Linked DNA regions of Oryzias latipes. The protein of the gene in region 1 purifies or fractionates together with the protein of each later gene. This does not show direct contact. Links are inferred from orthologs where the notes say so. Each region holds a gene or a part of one and is shown on either strand. Other genes may lie near its edges. The genes, in order: vps33a, vps41 and tgfbrap1.

Region 1 (3,004 bases):
AGAAAAGGGGCGCATTTAGAAAAAAAGGAGCCCCTAAACGATGACGTGAAGTTAAGTGGGAAAAATATTTATTCATTTATTTCAGAGAAGTTTTTTATTTTTATATATCTTTTTTTTATCTATCTATATATACACCGTACACACACACACACACACACACACACACACACACACACACACACACACACACAAAGACACATATCAAAATCAATTTTGCAGTGTGGCACATGACTTCTACTTGTCACTACAGGAAAATCACATACACTTTTTATGGTATCTCAGTTTAAAAAGTGTTGCTGATGTTGTCTCCTATAAATTAACTTTCAACTGTATTGGGACGCTATAAAGTATTTGTATATGCTATTACTACAGGATGCATGCTTTGATGAGGCTGCATCCACCCGAGTTGCTCAAAGATGTCACCTTTTTCAAATGACTCTAAAGTTTTAGTGTTCTTCTGTTTGTTTCTGGCCTCCAGGTGTTTTTCTTGCTCGCCTGGAGGTCAAATTCACGAGACGGGTAAGATCCACCGAGACTGTGTGCTTTAAAATATGTGTCTGTGGACAAAAATGTAGGTAAACATTTTATTTTCTAGGAATATACTGCTCATTATACAACCATACAGACATGTTTACTGTGCTTCAGCACAGATATGGAATTGCACATATGGACAAAATGCTGACAATCACATGGAATGCAAGCTGGCTTGACAACAATTTCAGTTTCTTCAAAGTTCCTGTTAAGGCCTACTTTAGATTCATTAAAAAAAAACATATAAAAGGCATTAGGGCTGCCACAATCAAAGAAGAAAACAGGCATCATAAACGCTACTGTTGTTTTGCAAGAACAGCAAAAGCCCAAAAAAAAAACGAGACCTTGTTTGATCAGCTTGAGCCTCATAGGTCAAAACTTTATTTGCCCACCATGAAGTAAGTGGTCCACCTCGCGAGGAGCAAACCACCGAACAGTACTGTGTAGCTGAAGAGAACAAATTTGAGGACTTCTTTGAATGTTCGGAGGAAGCGGATGATCAGAGGATCCACGTCCACTGGCACCTCCAGCACCTTCGGCCTCTGACCAGGCTGAGTCAGGTGTCCCATGTTCTCCCCTCGACCCATCTCTCATACACACACCTGTCATATTGCAATAGCAAAAAAAAAACAACAACTCGTTTATGTATCAAGGATGGCATAGAGAAGGATGCACGTGCTTACAATCAAAAGAATAAAAGTGTAGCTGTACCCAAATTTGGTTGAAGATCAGGCTCAGAAAGATAGAAAGCTAACTAGTACATTCTAAACTAGAAAATTAATGTTTTTCAAGTAAATTCCGTGCAGTTTGTTTGGAGTAAAAATGCCAAACAAGAATTTTTAGCCTCTCAGAAGCCAAAGGATGTGTACAGTAAAAGGACCCCGATTAATAATTAATATTTAAATTGCTCTAAGTGTATTGATTAGCTTTTTTCACTTCTTAAAATGACTTCTCGGCAGAAAACAAAAACACAACATTCATGTTCAACTAAAACATTTTCAGTAAAATGCAAAAAAATGATTTAAGCTCTATTTTGGACTATCTCAGAACAAATCTTCAGATGAATTTAATTAGTTATTTGAAATAAATGTTTTCATCACAGGTGATTTGACCTGTGGCGTCATAAAAAAGTCGAGGTATATTTTCCCATTTTTAAAAGAAGCAAACTTTCCATACCTTGATGATATTGAAGCGGGACAGCTGGGGGTGGACTGCTGTGCTTCAGCCGTCTGCTCCAAATCTGCGTGTGCAGAATCGAGCGTCTCAAGTTCTTCTTGCAGAGGAGGGAGCAAAAGTAAAACTGACCACATGGATCTCAAGGCAACTGCTGTCCGTTTATTCCCAATTTAAATCTTCGGCATGTTTATCTTCCCAAAGAAAGCAGATTTTAAAAGCAAAACAAGAATTCAACTAAATATTTTACAATTTTAGGAAACCAGCACAGAAGACATTTACATTGACTGGAAAGCAGCAAAAATATCTGTCAGCAGGTTTTCCTGTATATACAGTGGCGGGCATGGAGAAGCTATTGACTGACACAGAGATCAAACACCCTCCCACAGCACAGTTATCCTCCACCGGAACATGGAGCAAATGGCTTCCTAATTAAATCAGTGTCCTGCGCTGTCAAATCACAGGCGGCTGGAGGCTGAGCTCTCCTGGCAGCACTGGGCTATTATCGGCTGATCAGGAGGCCTGTTACTGTGCTAATTGCTTCTTCAGTGAGCTGGACCACAGCTGATGGATACACTGCCGTTTCTGCTTTTCCCCCAAAAATGACCCACTAAGCAGCAAGCAAAACACGCTTATGACATGACCAAATCTAGGAGGAAGTTGCTTTTTTTATTTTGGACTCCAAGAAATACCCTCCATGAGGGTCTTAATCCATGTTGTGCCATTGATGAGTTTTGTGGTTGCGATGATGTACTCCATCCCGCTGTCTTCCATTTGAGAGAGGAATCGGAGAGCAGATATTTCTGCGTATGTCACTCCACCGAGGAAGAAGACCAGCGTTGTTCGGTTTTCCCCCTGCTGACCTGTGGGTGGGTGGGGGGTTAAACAGAAATAGTAAAGATATAAAAAATAGAAAATAATCCCACAAATCCCAAATATCATTCAGGTTTTCCAATTCCTGGTAAAAATAGGAAAATTGCCAAAGACTCCCTGTTGAAACTCTAAAATAGCTGCATCGCCTTGCCTGAAAATTGCCAATTATCACCTTTATAAACCAATAGATGGCAGGCCTGTAGCAACAAGACAACTAGCACATCCGTTTGTTTACTTCTAATGAAGTGTTTAATGATTTCTCACTTGGAAGGGTGTTATTGCCAAAACAAATTCATGACCAAATACGTATTTTTGTCTTCAGAACTTTGGCCAAACGCACATACACCCACAGACACCAGCCCCAGCGCTGATGGACGGTCAGCCCTCAGCCATCACTCTTCCGTTGTTTAGCATTTGCTTCACTGAG
Region 2 (3,657 bases), on another chromosome or scaffold:
TTGCAGAGGGTGGAAAAACCCTATTTATTAAAGCAGACACTGTGAAATGGCATTTTTTCCCCTCCTCAAATTAAAATGCTTAAGCATAATAAATGCACTGTACATCTGACTTCTTCAATGCTCTGCATGCAACCCAATCACCTCCTTGCCCAGAACAGACTACTGAGCAGCAACTGGTTCCTGGGAGTCGCGCTTCAGCAAAAGCGCGGGTGTGCATTTGAACGTGTGTGTGTGTGTTTGCCTCAGTCCACAGGGACAAAAACATTATAGAAAGTGGGGCTTCTGGCATTAGATTAAGTGTGTGTTCTTCTACCAAGTCCCTGCTCGGCGCCCTCCTCCTAATCCCCCCTCCCTCCCGGAGCAGCATGTGGATGTGCGGCGAGCCCACCATGCTTCAGTGCAGTCTATAATGAAATGCTTATATTTACAGGCACAGCTGAGCATGTCAGACAGAGCCCCTGCAATCTTCCAAATAAAATAACCCAAAAATAAATAAATAAAAGGTTCAACCTTGTGAGGCGGAGCGACTTTTAAAAGGATTTATCAGGATGGAATTGTTCAAATGAAATTCCGATTCAGACACTTAAAATATGAGGCAACATAAGGCAATATGTGCTCCCGGTGATTTAAGGTTGCGGGAGTTTTGTCACGGCGGAGGGGGCTGGTGTGACCACATCTGAATGGCTGAAGGTGCACAACAACGGAGAAAAGAAAAATTAAAAATGTTCTCGGATCGCTCATCTTTCAGCTGAGGCCCGTTCTGAAGGGAAAAAGAAAAGGGGGAGCAGATTTACACAAAACAAATAAATAAATGAAAATCAGCTGCAGTTAATAAAACATCAGGTGAGGAGACGTAACTGGGTATGACTTTCGCTCTACCCAGGCGTGCAAGTGTGCTGCCGGTGCCACGACGATTAAGCATCTCGCAGAGGAGTGTGCCTCTTAAACATATCAACATTCAGCAAATGGGAAAGGAGTGAAAAATATGTAGGAGTGGGAATAAAAAGAGGAAAAGACAATAGTGGCTTTTGATGCACCTCCCTGAGAGGAAAAGCAGAGGAAGGTGAGAAAAGAATGGGCTGCCTTTGCAGATTGAGCAGCAGGGATGAAAACCAACTTTGAAGATGACATCTCTCAAATGCACACATAAACAAAGGGAAATCTTTGGCTGAAATGATTGGACTTGAAACTGAAAAGCCCCGGCGGGCGTGGGGGGGGGATTATCACCTTTACCTTGTCGTGGACGGTCATGCAGCTGGCTGCGTCATTCTTAAGGATGTCTGTCACCCCGTTGGAGAGCCTCTCGTACTTTAACTTGGCCTCCTCCTCACTGTCCTCCTCCTGGTTCGGAGAGGGAAATGGGCTTTCACTCAACACTTTCTTAAAGGTAGTCATTTACACACAGCCACTTCACAGAAGTTACAAAAGACACTTTCAAAGACGTCCGTGCAGTGTGTTGAAATATGCAAAAAGTTCTCTTCCTGTTGGTTTCAAACTGATGTGACATATGAAGTTTTAGACCCCTTTCTCTAAATGCTTATTTCAAATATTACATAAAGACATGACTTTGAATGCTTCAGAAATTAAAAACCCAGTTTGAACTAATATCAATGCAAAAGGCAATTAGAAAAGATTTTAAAAGGTGTTCATCTTTTCTATTTCTACCAAGAAAAACAAGATGGAAACACCGATTCCACAAAAAAAGCATCAGAAGATCCTTTTTCTTCACTTAATAAACCTAAACTGCATACTTTATGAATTTAAGATCCACACCTAAGGAAATATTGTCTTTATTAATATGTCCATAACACGGACTTCTCAGCTCATATAAGCCAACTAAACAACTCCAATTAATCTGATGATGGCAGACAGATATAAAGAAAATTCAGCTCAAAATTGCATTTCTGAGTATTTCTTTATTCAAAATTGTTGTGAATCAGGAGCAGACAAAAAAATGCAGTCTGATAAAGATTGCATCTGCAACATAAAATACACAGGACTCAGCTCCCTGCTCCACAACGGGGAGGGGAAAGGGGGCGGGGTTTGCTATGCGCCAAGGGCCCTAACCCACAACCAAGAGACCAATTTCTAATGAACTCACCCCGCAGAAACTATATCCTGGAAAACGGCGCAGGTTTTAAGATTGTGGCTAAAAAGGAATAATCATCTTCAAAAGATTGCAGAGAAAACTTTTAAAATAAATCAAGAAGGGGATCCGATTGGATCATTAAAGCCTATTTTTAATTATTTCAACTTGTGTCAATGAGGCAAAAAAGAAATAGAATACATTTTAAAAGATGTTTAAATGTTGTTTTTCCACAAATAAAACTGGATGGCATCACTAATTCCACAAAAAAGCATCAGCAGATCCTTTTTTTTTTTGCTAAACAAACTTCTTCTTCCTCTTTCGGCTTCTCCCATCAGGGGTCGCCACAGTGAACAAGTCGCATGGTAAACTTGGCAATGTTTTACACCGGACGCCGTTCCTGACGCAACCTTCTCAAACCGGGCTTGGGACCGGCACAGAGGAAGAGAAGGGAACAGGGAGCAGCCCGGAGTTGAACCCTGGTTTCACGGTTGGAAGGCGCCGCAAACCAGCACGAGCTAAACCGGCTCCCTTTTTGCTAAACAAACTAAAACTGCGAAATTTGTAAAAGTACGATCCAAGCCTGACATATTGAAATAAACAATTTCTATGAAGTGTATCACTTTATAAGCAGCAGGCAGTGAATAAAACCGATATTAGGAGATTAAATAAATTAACAAATAGATTTAAAAAATGTGATGTCAAAGAGCAAAGCAGCACAAATGTATGGACTGGAAGCATTTAATATATTAAAGATACAAATTTTTTTTTTACTTATTTAATATTCCTGTTATTAAAATACTATGCCATAATATTCTCAAGGGGATTTTTGCTACATTTTTTTGTCCTTTTACCTCCTAAAACAACATAAAAAAAGTGGAAAATCTAAAGGTAGAAGGCAAAGATAAGAAGGGAAAACAGACTATGAGAAAGACTACTGGTTAAAAAATGTAAACTTAAAACAATACGATGCTCATACTATGGTACATGCGTGTTACTGACCTTTATGTTCATTTAAAGCTTAAATATACCTTTTTAATTAAAATAACTGGTATTATCTGGTGTTATTTGGATTCATACCTTTATATGCTATTGGCTAAATAAAATGAGTTCTGTCATTGTATCAAGAAAGAGTATTTCTGCATAGAACCAATCTATTTTGAGAAGTGTTTACATGTATATGTGTAGGAGATACCCAAAAAAGGGACAAATTTTCATTACCTTGCATGAAAGGCCTAAAACAACAATTTTTCATCTTTTCTCAATGCCGTTTATCCCCAGTGAGACGCGTGAATTTATTGTTTTCATAAAGCAAACTTAAAGTATTCTACTGTGTTACACTTTCCAGCATGAGTCAACATTTGCAGCCAGTCACAGCCTGAATATTACTCATAATTCGGTTTATAACCAATACTGCACAGTCTGTGGCTGCCCAGAGGGTGCATCAACTCAAAACATTGTCTGCCATTATGTGCTACTGGGTTGGAGGTGGGGGACAATAGCGTGGAAAAAATGTTATTTTCAAAAACAATCCTTTCCCACTCAACAACGCCATATCTAGGCTATTTCCT
Region 3 (3,657 bases), on another chromosome or scaffold:
AAACTAGTTACCTACCAGATCAAAAGCTGCTCGGATCCATCTGGGTCTGATCCGCCTACCTCTTTCAGATAACTGATGAGGAACCTCTTGCACTGTAGAACTTTCTCCTGGTCGCCCTGTGCAAGATGGTTGAGGTCGGCGAACTCGTGGAGAGGAGGGTGAAAGCGGGTGAAGGAGGAAGAAGCGGGTAGCAGCAACGGGTAGAGAGAGATCAGCTCCCGCACATCCAGTTCACCCTTCCTAAAGACAAAAACATTGCAGGTTGATGAAAGATCAGAAACCTGAAGGCAAGGAGAGTCTGAGCTTTGACCACGTCGGACGACATCAAACACCACACAGTCGAGAGAGAAAATGAGAAAAAAGCAAATACAAGCCTTCAATCAAAACATGAAAAAAACTCTTCAAAACAAATATGTACTACTAAGGTTCTCAACACAGGTTCACTTGACAGCTGAATTTCTTTTTACATGGTTTTGAATGCAGTTATAGTAGTAAAAAAAACCAAAGGAACCTGGGTAAATAAATACCAGACACGTGATTTCTATATAATAAAGACTATAAATGAAGAATATCAGGCTGTGAAGACCATATCCCAAAATGTTCCAGTTCAAAACGAAGCTTTATTGACTCAACAGTATTCTTTATTCTCCAATTACAGCTTCATGTGTTCCAGAAAAAGTTAGATAAACAATAGTTCCTTATTCTAATATGACATAAAATTCTTTTCTACATTATAAACCACTGACATCATTAAGGTAAAACATAGACCAGGGGGGGCAAACACGCGGCTCTCGGCCAATAAGCATGCGGCTCTTTGCGTCTCATCATATTTTCTATTTACTGTGCCTCATTTCATAGTTTTTTCCCTCTTAAACCAAACTCAAATCCATCAGAGGGTATAAATAAAAAAATAATAATAAAAGTAATTTGGCTGTTTGTGTGTTTTAATGCTGCTCCCGGCACATTGTATTAATGTGTTTATTGTGAATATGTATTACTCAGACACCAGAAGGATGCTCTGTCCAGATGTTTATCATCGTAAATCTGACTTCAGAGGAGTCGGTGCCTCACCAGCCATCAACCTCACTGCCCGTCACTGAGTAGCTGTGTGTGTCAGAGAGAGGCAGAGAAAAGAGTGAGATAGAGAGATAGTGTGTGTGTGTGTGTATGAGATGTGTCTGTGGAGGGGGTATCTGACCTCCAGGGTTGACTCTCTTAACTCTGGCTAAGCTCCATTTGATGTGTGTATTGAGGGTGGACACTTTCCTTGAAATAAACACAAGTGCAATGCTTGCTGTTGTATTGTAAGGAGAGGAGTGTTTATGGAAAATAATACGGCTTTAATTGTGTGTTTGTGTGTGTACGTCTTGGCAGGTCTGTGTGTGGTGTGGCTCTTTGACTCTCACAGTGAAAAAAATTCGACTCTTGGTGTCAAAGACAAAAACTCTCAGTTTAGTCACAAAACAACAGATTTAAGTGAATGGAACAAACCTAAAATGGTCTTTGGCTTCCTGAAACTGAAGCTTGCCGAACTGTATGAACCCCGCTCGCTGGAGGATTCTTCTGTGCAAAACCTAAAGAAAGAAAATAAACATTAGTTCCTAAAATATTTAAAAGATCTCAAAACCTCCAATAGCATTTTTTCATCTCGCTTTAGTCCAGTGTTTTTCAACTGGCGTAGTAAATGATTCGAGTTCACCCTATTGGTCTAAAAAACATTGACCATATCCAGGAAAGCAGCTTTGTGTTCATTCAAACACGCCCAGGTTTCACACTGAGTAGTTAGGAATATAAAAGCTCTTAAATACTTTTTTTCATTTATTTGATGACAGTTCAAAAATTTCTATATATTGTTCATACAAACAACATAAATTCTTTTTTCTTACATTTTCATTCAGTGGTGTGCCTTGTGATTTTTAATCAAATAAAAAAAAAAAAAGAATGTACCTTAAATCAAAAAAAAGTTTAAAAACAAAACAAAACACTGCTTTAGTCCATGTAAAAACATTGATGGGCTGCTGTTTACCTGAAATTTGTCTTTGGGAATGTTTCTCTGTGCGCCCTCCATGAGCATGAGCGCCTCCTCCACCCGGTGACTGGCCAGCAGATCCTGGATCTGTCTCTCCAAAGGCAGAGGCACCAGGACGTACACCGCCTTTGTGGAGGCCAGAATGACCTTCCCTAAAAACACAGAGCCCCCAATAAGTTCCTCCTGCTAAAGCAATCTTCTGAATGACAAGCATTCTTAACAAACAAAAAAAATGTAGACGTCTATCCCGATAGCATTTAAAGACACACGCTGATGAAAATTATGTTTTGGATATTTTTAACATATTTTTAACAAGCATTTTTCTAATGATGGAAGACATATATAAGGAAAATTAGGCATAAAGTTGTATTTATCTGTATTTGTCTATTTAAATTTATGTGAATCAGGAGCAGACAAAAAAATGTCGTTTGAAAAAGCGTGTAGCTGTTGCGTAAAAGCTACAGTCAGCACGCCACAAACTGTGCTCCGTTCAATTCTGATGCGTCCACTTGTAGACAAACAGATCCATGCATGTCTTTCTTTTCCTCATCTGAGCTGGAACCCGGCTCAAAACTCTGATATTGTTGCACCGGTGATGTTAGATTGGGGTTGTGAGCGGCTGTAAACTAACAGGAGAGCGTGTTGGATGGGTGTTAGATGGGTGACGGGAAGTTAGGGCGGGCTTACTAAGTGCCATCATTCCCACCCAAAACTTGGGGTGACTTTCTAAGGAATTACTGCCGCTCAGCAGAAACTATGTCTTAGAAAACGACACAGGTTCTTTATATTTTGGCTAAAAACTGCATAATCATAATTAAATCATAAGACCACTGGGAATGCTTTAGAAATCAAAAGATGATCAGAGAGGGATTTAATGAGGAAAAAATTGTTGATGTGTTGTTATTAAAAATTTTAAAAGATTACATTTAAAGTGTAAAACTTTTTAAACTGTATTCTACTAAATAGGAAGATAAACAAGTAAAACCAATACCTCCCTTACTCCTGATTGACACTGCAGTTAAAATCAATTCCAGCCTCTTCATTCACTTCCATGCAAACAAAAGCAAAACTTCAGGCTAAAGAAGCTGAGAGCGGTCATACTTACTGTCATATTTAAACACCTCATTTCAAGAGGCCAGTGTTTATTGATTCGTATTTTCAGGTTTCCCTGAAAAAAACTTTTAACCAAAATTCCAGTTGTTCTGATAATATTTTCAACTAAATGCTGATTTCATACAGAGCTTTCAGAGCCACATTTGAGCCTTAAAATTATTTAAGACAGCAAAATTTCTGGTTTCTCTTAGAAATAAACTATTAGAATAACCCAAATGAGTAACACTGAAGTCACAACGTCAGGAATTTCATTTGCTGAAGAGGATCGTTCTGCTGCAGCGTAGTGATTAGACATGTCTGCTTTATTTTCAAAACAATCACCAGTCAGTCGGAGACATGTAGCGTGCAATGGGTCTGCTACCACAGAAGGTCGACTCTTGTTATATACGACTCACAAACTCAGCACGGAAATAAGCTGCTCCGAATTATTAAAGAAAAAAACTTGACTAATGTCCTCCCTCCTGCCATTAACACCTAACACTGATCCTGCTAAAACTTATACAAAAAGAAAAAAA

The links.
Region 2: the proteins of vps33a (region 1) and vps41 purify together in Homo sapiens (affinity purification with mass spectrometry; 5 studies listed by BioGRID and IntAct, counting the BioPlex papers as one, with this or other methods). This does not show direct contact. The link is inferred for Oryzias latipes from reciprocal best matches to the Homo sapiens genes VPS33A and VPS41.
Region 3: the proteins of vps33a (region 1) and tgfbrap1 purify together in Homo sapiens (co-immunoprecipitation; 5 studies listed by BioGRID and IntAct, with this or other methods). This does not show direct contact. The link is inferred for Oryzias latipes from reciprocal best matches to the Homo sapiens genes VPS33A and TGFBRAP1.

Annotation. Positions count from the first base shown.
Region 1 is NC_019867.2:18,267,853-18,270,856, reverse strand, and holds the end of vps33a (vacuolar protein sorting-associated protein 33A), read right to left. Parts: intron 2,568-3,004; coding exon 2,374-2,567; 3' UTR 1,708-2,373; intron 1,134-1,707; 3' UTR 571-1,133; downstream 1-570.
Region 2 is NC_019878.2:20,691,106-20,694,762, forward strand, and holds part of vps41 (vacuolar protein sorting-associated protein 41 homolog), read right to left. Parts: intron 1,342-3,657; coding exon 1,234-1,341; intron 1-1,233. UniProt on the Homo sapiens protein: Plays a role in vesicle-mediated protein trafficking to lysosomal compartments including the endocytic membrane transport and autophagic pathways. Acts as a component of the HOPS endosomal tethering complex.
Region 3 is NC_019861.2:16,414,924-16,418,580, forward strand, and holds part of tgfbrap1 (transforming growth factor-beta receptor-associated protein 1), read right to left. Parts: intron 2,182-3,657; coding exon 2,027-2,181; intron 1,575-2,026; coding exon 1,492-1,574; intron 241-1,491; coding exon 60-240; intron 1-59. UniProt on the Homo sapiens protein: Plays a role in the TGF-beta/activin signaling pathway. It associates with inactive heteromeric TGF-beta and activin receptor complexes, mainly through the type II receptor, and is released upon activation of signaling.